3 linked regions of the Drosophila melanogaster genome follow. The protein of the gene in region 3 interacts with the protein of the main gene of each other region in a pairwise test. Each region holds a gene or a part of one and is shown on either strand. Other genes may lie near its edges. The genes, in order: CG10154, CG14275 and Larp4B.

Evidence for each region.
Region 1: the proteins of Larp4B (region 3) and CG10154 interact in a two-hybrid assay, tested with the Drosophila melanogaster proteins (one large-scale study listed by BioGRID).
Region 2: the proteins of Larp4B (region 3) and CG14275 interact in a two-hybrid assay, tested with the Drosophila melanogaster proteins (one large-scale study listed by BioGRID).

The regions. Positions count from the first base shown.
Region 1 is NT_037436.4:13,435,105-13,438,859, forward strand, and holds CG10154 (uncharacterized protein), read right to left. Parts: upstream 2,033-3,755; 5' UTR 1,993-2,032; coding exon 1,992-1,992; intron 1,928-1,991; coding exon 1,688-1,927; intron 1,602-1,687; coding exon 1,117-1,601; intron 975-1,116; coding exon 750-974; 3' UTR 576-749; downstream 1-575. Other genes in the region: CG10725 (uncharacterized protein), read left to right, coding at 2,882-2,882, 2,941-3,087, 3,146-3,582, 3,647-3,755.
Region 2 is NT_033779.5:8,325,445-8,329,199, forward strand, and holds the start of CG14275 (uncharacterized protein), read left to right. Parts: upstream 1-2,011; 5' UTR 2,012-2,139; intron 2,140-3,603; exon of another isoform or gene 3,604-3,730; intron 3,731-3,755.
Region 3 is NT_037436.4:3,224,171-3,227,925, forward strand, and holds the start of Larp4B (La-related protein 4B), read left to right. Parts: upstream 1-1,882; 5' UTR 1,883-2,353; coding exon 2,354-2,369; intron 2,370-2,706; coding exon 2,707-3,535; intron 3,536-3,604; coding exon 3,605-3,755. Other genes in the region: eIF1 (eukaryotic translation initiation factor 1), read left to right, coding at 144-290. UniProt on the Drosophila melanogaster protein: Probable RNA binding protein. Negatively regulates myc at the protein level, via an unknown mechanism, and may therefore have a role in growth. Has no effect on myc mRNA levels.

The sequences.
Region 1 (3,755 bases), about 10 Mb from region 3:
CGCTCGAATAATTGTATTTTGCCAACCTTGCGGCCCGAGACGCAGGTGGGCGGTGGGTGGTGGGTGGTTGTGAGGTTGTGTGTTGGACGATGGGTGATTCGCCTGCGATTCGAACGGCGCAAGGACTCGCAGCCAACTGAATGTGTGAATGCAGCTGGGCCAGCGTCGCGCTCGTTTTCACTTTCATGAGTTTCGCAGAGCGCTCTTTCACTTCCCACCGCCCCCACGGATGGTTTTCCTCTTTTTCCTTTTTGCCAACAGACAGCGTTTTGTTTTTGCTTTCTGTATATGTGGCCGTGCCACTCGGTGGGCGAGCGGGTGGTTGGCGTTTGCAACCAGAAGAGCATGAATGGGGTGCTCTGTGGAGCACTCTTTCTCTCTTTTTTGGAAAATAAACACTGTGGCTGCACAGCACATGCGCCGTTTACAAAACACCATTGTGAACGGGCCATCCAATTCAAATTGTAACGTTTTGTAGCAAACATTTTATTGGTAAATTAATTGAATTTATTTTTTTCCATTTCTTACTAGTGGAACTTTCTTGGGATGATAAGAGAGTCTTACACCAAATGATTGGTCCCTTTAATAAATCTTTAAAATAACGACACTAAAAATGTTATGTGCTCTTTTAAAAAACATTTCAGAATAAACAATTTGTATCACTTCTTACATTCACAAAATCTCTTATCATTTCATAAAATCGAAAATCAAAAGCAACAGGTTGTAATTATTTATTTATGAAAACTCAGTTAGACACCAACGAATTCAGGTCTGCGGCAATCCTCCACTTTGGGATCGTAGTAAAGACCCGGAGTGCAGTCTAGTGTGACTCCACGTCCTTCGACGCAGTAATAATATGCATCTCGGCGAGATTTGTGTGGGAAGAAGTGAGTTCCCATAAGGGGACACTTAATGTCAGCACGACGCAGAGGGGTTCGGGAATATGGCAGAATATTCCTGGCTACAGCATCAATCTAGAGATATTTAGGTATAAATAAATAAATTATTAAATTACTCCAGAAGCAGTATAAAATGTACTTTAAACCAATCCAAAACAATCAATTTAAAAATATATATTTGAAATGAAAAAAATCCACTTTCACTTTTTCTACTCACCGTGCAGTTAACATTCTTGGCAAAGTCGCAGCACTTGCAGCTGGGATTGTAGGCCAAGCCAGGAGCACACTGCTGTTCCCACGGATGACCATTGGAACAGACGTAATACTTGCTGCATGATGCCTTACTACCCAGGTAGATGATGTCCTCTGGCTGGAAGGTGGCGGAACAGTCGTTGGCCACACAGTCCACATACTCGGGGAAGTCACAGCGATCCGTGGCGTTGTTGTACTGGAGTCCATCGTGGCATTGGCGTAGCACGGGTTTGCCGTAATAGCAAAGCACGTACTTGGTACAGGTGTTGTCGTAGCAGAAGCTGCTCAATCGGAACGACTCACAGGTGGGCAGACACTGTACCTCCTCCATGTAGGTGCACACTTGGAGAACAGGATCGTAGCCCAGCTCACACGACTTGTTCGGATCGCAAATATCTGGATTATCCTTTGCCAAATCCAAGCAGCTGCCTACTTCCTTAATAGTATTGTCTTAAATACATGGATAGTTTAATGTATTAAAAATATTTTTCATTTGCTTTAAAAACTTATGTGATGTTTTAGTGTATATAACTCACTTTCACACTCGATATATTTGGAGCAATTTCCAACATAGGGCAAATAAACGCCATCCGCCACATTGCCGCAGACATTTATCTGGGTGTTTTCGTACATATCGTAAATATCCTTATCCTGAACATTTAGGCCCTCACCATCGTCGTCTGGACCGGGAGCTACTACAAGATCTTCATCGGCCCGGTTCCGATGAACCATCAAAATGATGAATAGTAGTAGGAGCCCATTTAATAGCCACTTCACTTGGGAAATTACGATTTATTAGGTAAATGAACTATAGGGAATCCCATCGCATGAGCAACTTACTCCTGGATAGTTTGAACTGTGTGCCACAACTGTTTGCTATCAGGCCAGGAAATATTCATTTTATATCGACTCTCTTTCATCGCCTAATGAGTTTTTGCCAATTTACACTTATCAACCAGGTTATTTCGGCACACGACTCCTCTAGAGGAAAACTACGCCATTATTTCTGCAAACATTTCGACTTTCAATTTGTCACCACCAAACTTGGCGATAATAGTCATAGTCGAAATGTTTTAAATAGACTGGTTCCCAGAACCCGTGGATATCGATGAAAAGTGTTTTAATTTCCTTGCACGTGTGGTTTTTTTTTTTATCACTTTAGTGCACGAGTGGTTTAAACATTCAAAGTATTACTGCGCTAGCGATTAAGATATGAAAAGAAAAATAAATAAAATAAAAAATAATTTTATAGAATAATACATTCTATTTGGATTAACTAGGAGCATTTCCTTCCTGTACAACAAATATACATACATATATCTTGAAGAAAATCTTAAACCTAAACTACAACTTAATAATTTCTAGATCTTCAAAGTAATGGGGCTTCCTATCCAAATATTCCAAACACTTGTAACAATTACATCGGATCTTGAGCGATCCGTGGTTCGATGATCAACTGTGACTCATCAATACACGTGTTTCCTAATGGCTGACAGAGGTGTATGTTCCTGAATATTGGCTCTTGTTCACCGAACTTATCTCCGCCAGACGAATTTGAATGAGGAAGAACAATCCAATTACCACATGGAAACATGCATCCACATCCGATAAGATTGGAAATTTGCACGGAATCAAAACAAATCGCAGATTGAATGGCAAGTGAGTTTGCCTATAAATGGAGGGGTTTTTCGAGGTAAGACGATAGTAACCGCAGGAAACCAACCTTGAATAGTGAGTATGAATTGCAGCTATGGAACCGAAATGATCTAACTTGGTTTATTTTCCAAAGTGATAAGTCGCCTGACCCTTTTGGCACTGGTTGCCCTGCTTGGAAGCTGTAGCGCTGCTGATGGCGATGTCAATGTCTGCTCCAATGTGGTCAACAATCTCTTTGTTCCCCAGGTGGGCAACTGTAGCAAGTACTTCCTGTGCATGAGTAAGTCACCAGCACCTGTGGATATCTAGTTCACCGCATTATCATGTTTCTATCCCAGATGAGATAGCTGTACCCCGTGAATGCCCCACGGACTACTACTTCGATGCGAGGGATCAGGAGTGTGTTCCCCTGATGGAGGTCGAGTGTATTGGATCCTGTAAGAACCGTGGTTTGTCATCGTTCTGTTACGATCGCACGTGCACCAAGTACGTTCTCTGCTTCGACGGCACTCCGGTGATCCGTCAGTGCTCCGATGGACTGCAGTACAACGCCCTGACCGATCGCTGTGACTATCCGCAGTATGTCGACTGCGTGGACAATCTGTGCAGCCGGAATAATAATCCGGATGACATCGTTTTCATACCCAGCAAGGCTCGCTGTGACAAGTACTACATTTGCATGGATGGTCTTCCTCAAGTCCAGAACTGCACAAGTGGCCTGCAGTACAATCCAAGCACTCAGAGCTGCGATTTCCCCTCGAAAGTCAACTGCACGGTGCGTGTTTTTTTTTATCTGAAGTTTTCTGGGAGCCACATAAAAACCTATTCATTTCATTCAGGTGGAGAGCCTTCAACGGAATATCCTGCCCTTTGCCCGAGCTCCGCCACGTCTCGCCGACATTGAGTGTCCATCGGAGGGCGCCCACTTTATTGCCCACCAGAAGCGTC
Region 2 (3,755 bases), on a different chromosome or scaffold from region 3:
AGCTTGCAGCAAGGGAGCTTTGGCAGCGAAGCTTTCGAGTGTGCGTCCTCTTTGCGATTTCCACGCTCTGCATGTGTGTGTGTGTGTGTGTGTGTGGGTCAGGAGATGCGAATGTGTGGCCACAAAAGTATCTCAAATGACACTGGTCTGCAGGGATGGGGTTTCAAACGATTTTTATTATATTTCGTACTTAATGTAAAATAAAAACATTCATTTCGATTATTATTAGAATTAAAACATATGTCCTTCATATATCATTAAACATCTTAAGGTGAATAAAAACGTTCTCAACTTGATTTATATTAAATCGTTTTTTTATTAAACAATTTTCGTCGCTGTACTAATTTAATTAAAAATTATTAATCACATATTAACAGGTTGTAGTAGAAATTAAAACATGAACTCAAATAATCATCACATTGCCTATCAATTGTTTGGCCGTTAAAGGTCGATTCAGAAATGAGATCTCTAAGCTAAGATTATTAAAATGTTTGTATAAACAAATACATTAAAAAGCTAATCGTGCTCCCTGAATTAGGTGTTTTGAAATATATACATGTTTACATATTGTATTAAAATAATCTGCTCTTAATCACTTCCACTTCTGTTTCTTCTTATTTTGGCATCTCACTTTTTATTTATGTATTTTTAAGTAGTCGCAATTAGAAGCTGCAATTAGCCGAAGGCAGTGCACTGGACTATTCGCCTCATTCACTCATAACCCTGAGCGCCATTTCAACTAGGCGTCCAGACACTCAATCCATAGCCGGAGATCAGGAGGACGTGAGCACGTGAATAGCCGGAGAAGTCGCACAGTAGAAGCAGAAATCAAATCCACCGGGATTAATTAAGCTTAATCGCAGGCTTCCTCTTGAAGCTCCAGCCACGTTGCTTATCACAAAGTCGCACAAATTGCTGCCCCAAGACGCTGGTCAATTGAATTAAGTCTTTCTTTCACTCACTATATGCACTATATATGTACATACATATATGTATGTATGATATGTACATATATTTTTGCAGATCGGTTTGCCTGGCTTTTGTGCCCCAATCAGTGCGCGAAATTGAGGAATCCGTGGGGGCAGATTGCCCTTTGGGGAGATTTGTGTTACCCTGTCTCCCAGTCGCGCTTGTACTTACACTTAAAAAAAAAAAGGTTCATAATATGCAGTCGATCTTTTATAAGTATTTTGGAAGCCTCATATTTTGTAAGCATTTATCTTCACTTTACTTTTATTTTGACACACTTAAATCGTTTTTATATATTTTTTTATTCATTATTACAATGTTAGGTGTATTTATTTTATTTTTTTATTAATATAACTTCAATTTATTTAAATAAAAAATTGAGAAAATAAATATTTCTCAGTGTGATGTCCCTAAATTGATTGCATTAAACAATGTTTGCGACTATAAATAGCGATAGTAAGAAAAGAGTTTTCGCTTTGGATTGGGGTTAAAGTACGAATAATCAAAATGTTGACTAACATGTTAAGCAACAAATTGTTTAAATTTAAATAACATTGAGTCCGACTAAAACGCGAAGCTTTGAAATCTTAAGCTTTTAAGCTACCGCTTCTAATGTGTTGAAGAACCGACTAAAAGCTTTTCTAACAAAATATGGGTTATTTGCCGTGAGAATTTCCCCTTGTTTCAATTAGAGCATTAGCCCCAAAAAATAAGTTTCCTTTATTTACTTTTTTTTTTTTGTTCCGTGGCTTCGCATTAATTTCGTATTTTATGCGCAATTAATCATGAAGTCTGGCGATTGAAATCGCGAACAGGAGAGATACGTTTCCAGAAATCACTTGTTAGAAAAAAAAAAATCCGGCAAACCGGTTTCAGCAAACAAGAATCGGGCTCATTTGCCTCAGTTTGTTTTTGGTTTCAAACGAATCCCCAGTCTGACCTCCCAATAATGCTCGCAGATCAGCTGATTTCCGATTTCTGACTTCGATACGAACCCACCAATGTCATTTGGCTGAAGACAAAGATCTCATATTCACAGACCTCAGTTACACGTTGAATTTGCAGTAGATTGGTTCTACTGTCGGTGGGAATTTAAACACTTAAAGTCAAACAAACAAAAACTAACAATAGAAGTGCAACAAAACAGTAAAAAATTTCAAAAGAAAAAAGGTATTTCCTAATTTAATTAAATAAATAGATAGCAAGAAGTGAGATTTTTGAGATCAGTTTGTGTAGTTTGCTTTTTGAGATTCTTCATTTCCAAGCAAACACAATAAAAGAAAAGATAAATTCACTTTCATAATTTATGAACAGAAGATTTTACCATTACATAGGAAAATTAGTTTCCAAAAATTTCCCCACACAATCACAATAAGTTAAGGAAATTTTCCACTTTTCATTGAGAGCTGTTTTCGACCAAGAACCACTTCAAACTGGCTAAAACCGGCAACTGAGCGCGGCAATATGCATATTCACTTTAGCTTGGCGCTTCACACAATGCAGCGTGGAAATTAAAAATTAGTTGCATTGTTTGCAGAATCGAACACCTAATGAATGCACTGCACAGATATGTACCTTACGTCAGGCAAAATTTAAAACATTTAATGATGAGTCAAGAAATTCGTACCGCCTTGAACTAGAAGAGAGACAGATAAGACGAATCCACTGATTTTCCCAATTAAGTTGAGTCCGAAAGTCTGACTTCGTCACCGATGCGGACTAGACCGAACCACCACAGCTGAGTTTTTGGAGGTGCGAACCAGTTTTAACTAATCAGCGCCGTTGATAAGGAACTGCCGTTCTATGGAGCTCGTACAGTCCATGTTATGGCGGTCAGAACGTGCTCCTATCGCAAAAACCCAGCTCACCGGAACCAAATCGATCACTCGATGGGAAAAGATTGCAGAGCCAATGACATCTTGGCCCGAATTTGAGATTCCAACTTCCTATCAAATGAATTAGCTATTACTTTTTTTATGGAAAATCTAGGTAATTTGTACGTCAGTTTTTATAAACTTAACATTCACATTATTTGTATAGTAATGAAAAGTTATAAAGTTATATGGCTATTAGCCATTATTGCATTTTATTGGCTTATACTACCAATATTATGCTGCATATGGGAATCTTACTTAAACAATGGTTATCTTTTGTTAATAGGCATAGTAAGTGGCTATTCAAAAGCTATATATAGTATAGTATTGTATAGTACATACATTGTTTATTTACTTTTTTTTGGGAGCTGTTTGCGAGTGACGTCACAATTCGGACTTAACTGGTTCAAGCCGGTGGATTCCATTTGGACTGTGTTTTGCATTCGGGTTAAGAACCAAGCTGAAACCAACCGAAGCTGGAGCTTATCAATGCGGCGTGGAAACTACCTTGTGTAGCATCCCCCTATATAGTCGCACATATATGTATGTATTTAACATACATAGGTATATATGTTGATATAAAACGACCCCGTAAAGACGATCGAGTGACGGAAGTTTTCACATATTTTCCATTTGCTGCCTTTAGGGCCGATCTCGCTCTCTTCGCTCTCCCGAAGCCAATCTGCTCGGCTCGGCTCTCAGTTCGCAATGAGCTGGCTTTTTGAAAAATCAACGTTTTTCGAAAAGTCAAATACAAGTTTTCAGATTCATCTCGACGGTGCTCGCGTCCAGTTGTCCGTTCGCATTAATCAACAATATATTAATTGTGTGCTGTAACTTCTTATGATCATAAAGAGTTGTTTAGCATTTTATTGAAAATATCAAAGGTGATTGAATGCATACGAATAACAT
Region 3 (3,755 bases):
TGAAGAAACTGCGAATATTATTGAAATCTATTTGGTCAGCAGTTCATTTGCACATATTCAAGACATTGTTTAAAACATTGATTGCTTCGTCGGTTGTGGATTTGGTTGAAAAGCACTAACATATTAATTACATTCATTCACAGGAATTCGCATGCAATGGCACTGTAATCGAGCACCCAGAGTATGGTGAGGTTCTGCAGCTCCAGGGCGATCAGCGTGAGAACATCTGTCAATGGTTGACGAAGGTGGGTCTAGCTAAGCCGGATCAGCTGAAGGTGCACGGCTTCTAAGCGGTCGAACGAACAAACCGTGTGAATCTTCATACCACTCTTTCATTCTTAAGCTCTGCAACAACACCCAAAAACTTGGAAAAGTTCTTTGTTCCGAATTATTCAAACTCTCTTGATAGAACATAAACATACAGAAGCAATAGACCATTTACTGAGAACAATGTTATAAATAAAATTAAATGTTCAATTTAAATAAATGAATGTGTGCGGGCGCTGTCGTAGTATAATGGGTCGAAAAAATTATAAATGCTTGTATTTCGAATTGGTTTTTCTGGCTTGTAACGCAGAAAACGCCCATTGGTATTTCATAGCTATTCGGATAAGATTCTGAATTAAAATATAGTAAAACGAAAGGTGGGCCATTTATTTATTGTCAACGAAAATATTAAAAAAAATATTCAAATTCAGGAACGTCTGATTTGGTTGTTGTCTTAGCTTCAGCAACGTTTCACACCTCGAGGGGAATACCACCTTAGGCGTTCTTGGGTACATTTGTCAGACTGTTCTGCAGTCACACTAATTTAGGCACAAAAAATCGGAGCGCGAAGTTTTTGCGTGTGTTGCATTTTGCTGGAAAAAAGAGTTATCTGAGTGTCAAACGTAGGCAAATTCGTCCCCCGAAATCGACGCGTTGCAACTGACGAATTTCCCAACGATAATTCGCCAGCAGAACGTTCAGTGAAGAATACGTGGACGCGCGGAACGCTTGGTGTTTCATTTTGTTCGTTCGGCCAAATTTAACAAGTGGTTTTCGCCTCAGCGCTGTCACAGCTGCACGAAATCGCCGTCTGCAGGCGGATGAGCCCGGGATTTCCATTCATCCCAGTGGTAAGTGAATATAGGCGAATAATGGTGCAGATAACATGTCGGAGAGGGGGCGGGTGGGCTGGATTTCGCTTAGCAATATTATGTTCTTGCACGTTTCAGGGTTGTCGCTTCGCAGGCAGTTGGTATTTTTTGTTCGATATTTTTGGGTAGCGTGCTTGTATTTGTGCGGTCTTCCGCAGGCTACTCTCTACATTTACATTGAAACGCAATAACCATTTAAGCAATAATCGTTAACGAAAAGCGTGAACGCATGCCTTGACTTGCGTGTCTCATGCTACGCACTTTTAAAAACCTGTCAGGAAAAACTAGTGACAATCGAGTTACTTTTTTTTTTTAGTATTTGCAATCGCTTGCAACCCTGACTTGCGATCTATCGAAACGGCGAAAGTTTTCTATGACGATGAGAAGTCGAATTTTTGGATTTTTCGCGTGACAAGTTGGTGGTGAAAAAAACCAGGCACAACCTTAACAATTCATTTGTCAACTTGGCTAACGATTGGCTACTGACAAGCGTAACGCTGGCTGGTGCGGGCGGTTCAAGTGAGGTGTGAAAAGTCGCCAAAAGAAAAAAATCAATTGCCTCTCGGTCGTTTCCAATTTTCAATTCACATTCTCTGCGTGTGCAAAAAGCAAAGAAAAGGCGAGAAAAAAAAATTAGACTGCAAACGACAAGAAAAGAAGAAAAAATAGAAAAGAAACGGCGAGCGGAAAGAAGAAGAGCGCAGAAGAAGGCCGAGCAAAGGCAACGTAGAGTTGAAGAAAATGTTGTACAAAAGGGGCGGAGGAGCAGGAGCCGTGTTTTCAAGTCGCAAGCAGCAGAAGCAGTATAAATAAATAACCATCGTCGCCAAAGAGAGTGCTCGCTATTCAGCGCGATTGGAATCGCGGAAAAGCAAGTTGGCGAAGTACGAAATATCGCAGTGAAAATCAAATTTTCCAAATAGAAAGAAGAGCTCCTCCTCTCGTTCGTTCGCCTGCTCGCTCTCTTTCTCTCTCATCCTCTCCATCGCTCTCTCGCTTCCACTCTCGCGACTGGGTGGCAACGTGTGTGCGTGTGTTGCTGTGTGTGCCTGCTGTGTGTGAGTGTGCCGCGTGCGTAAGTGTGTGTGTGTAGCTCGAAAGAGCGAAAAAATAGATTTAAAAGAAAAAAATAAGAGGAAAAGCAAATAAGGAGAAGCGAAATAACCGACTGTGTCTTTGTGTGGAATTTCTTGATAATTGCAACATACGTTACCATGGAATACTTCCTAGGTTGGTAAAATGCGTTAACTAGCACCCGTGCATGCGTGTGCGCCACCCCCTATGCATCACCCACATGCTCGAAAATTTGCATACGTATGTGTACGCTTATGCTGGCACTGCTTTACGCTTGTTTGTTTTTTGTTGTTATTAGCTCGAAATCGGCAGAGTTTTCCCAGCATCTGGCTTCCTTCGATTACGACAGTTTCCCGTTACGTCTACAATTACAAAATATTGACCTTGTTTATACACACACTCACCATATCACACACACAACAAACCCAACCACACCACCCATCACCCGCCCACCCATAATGTAAAAACCGTCTTATGTGCAAACCACTTGCAGGAGGATATGTATACATGAACGGAGATGCACTCAAGATCCAGCCGCCCGTCTACACCAACGTTCCTGTCGAGACGGCGATGCTAGCAACTAATCTGTTTGGCGCCACAACCCAAATTGCAGCCTCACCCGCAGCAGCCGCCGCTGCCCACATACCGTTGATCACAGCCGCAGCTGCAGCCGCCGCCGCCGCAGGCGCTCCAGCAGTAGCTCCTCCAGTTGCCGTTGCTCCAGTGGCCACCGCATCAGCAGCACAAGCAGCAGTTGTGCCCGCCCAACAACAGCAGCAGGCGCATCCACACCAGGCCCAGATTTTGGCCCATACGCACGTAGCCCACCAACAACAACAGCAGCAGCAGCAGCAGACGATCCAACAGCATCTCCACCAGCAGCAGCAACAACAGTCGCCGCATCCCGCCCAGCATCTGACCTACGGCCATCAGCCGGCGCTTTCGCAGGCCACGGCTGGAGGATCAGGAACAATTTCCGGAGGAGCAGTAGGACCATCCGGAGTAGTCGTGGAGGGCCAGGACACCAACGAGTACGCCATCATGAATGGCGCACTCGGCCAGACCCAGGATGGCACTGTGGTCTGCTACACCACAGACGCCCTGAACAACACGAATTTAGTTGCACTCGATCCGCAGCCCCATCAAATTGTAGTGCCGGTCCAGGTTCCTGTCCAAGTCCCAGTGCCCGTTCAGCTACCAGCAAATGGATCCGCTGATCCGCAGCAAGGCAGCCACAATGCAGCTGGTGGAGAGGAGCCCAACATACCGCTGGACAAGCTCAAACAAATGCTGGCCACCCAACTTGAGTACTACTTCTCCAGGTGAGATTTGGCACACAAAATCCAACAGCAAACCCCTTTTGACATTGCTTCTTATTCCGCTCCAAACAGGGAGAACCTGGCAAACGACACCTACCTGCTCTCCCAGATGGACAGCGACCAGTATGTGCCCATTTACACTGTGGCCAGATTTAATTTGGTGCGAAAGCTAACCAATGACATCAATCTCATCACTGAGGTGCTGCGTGAATCGCCCAATGTC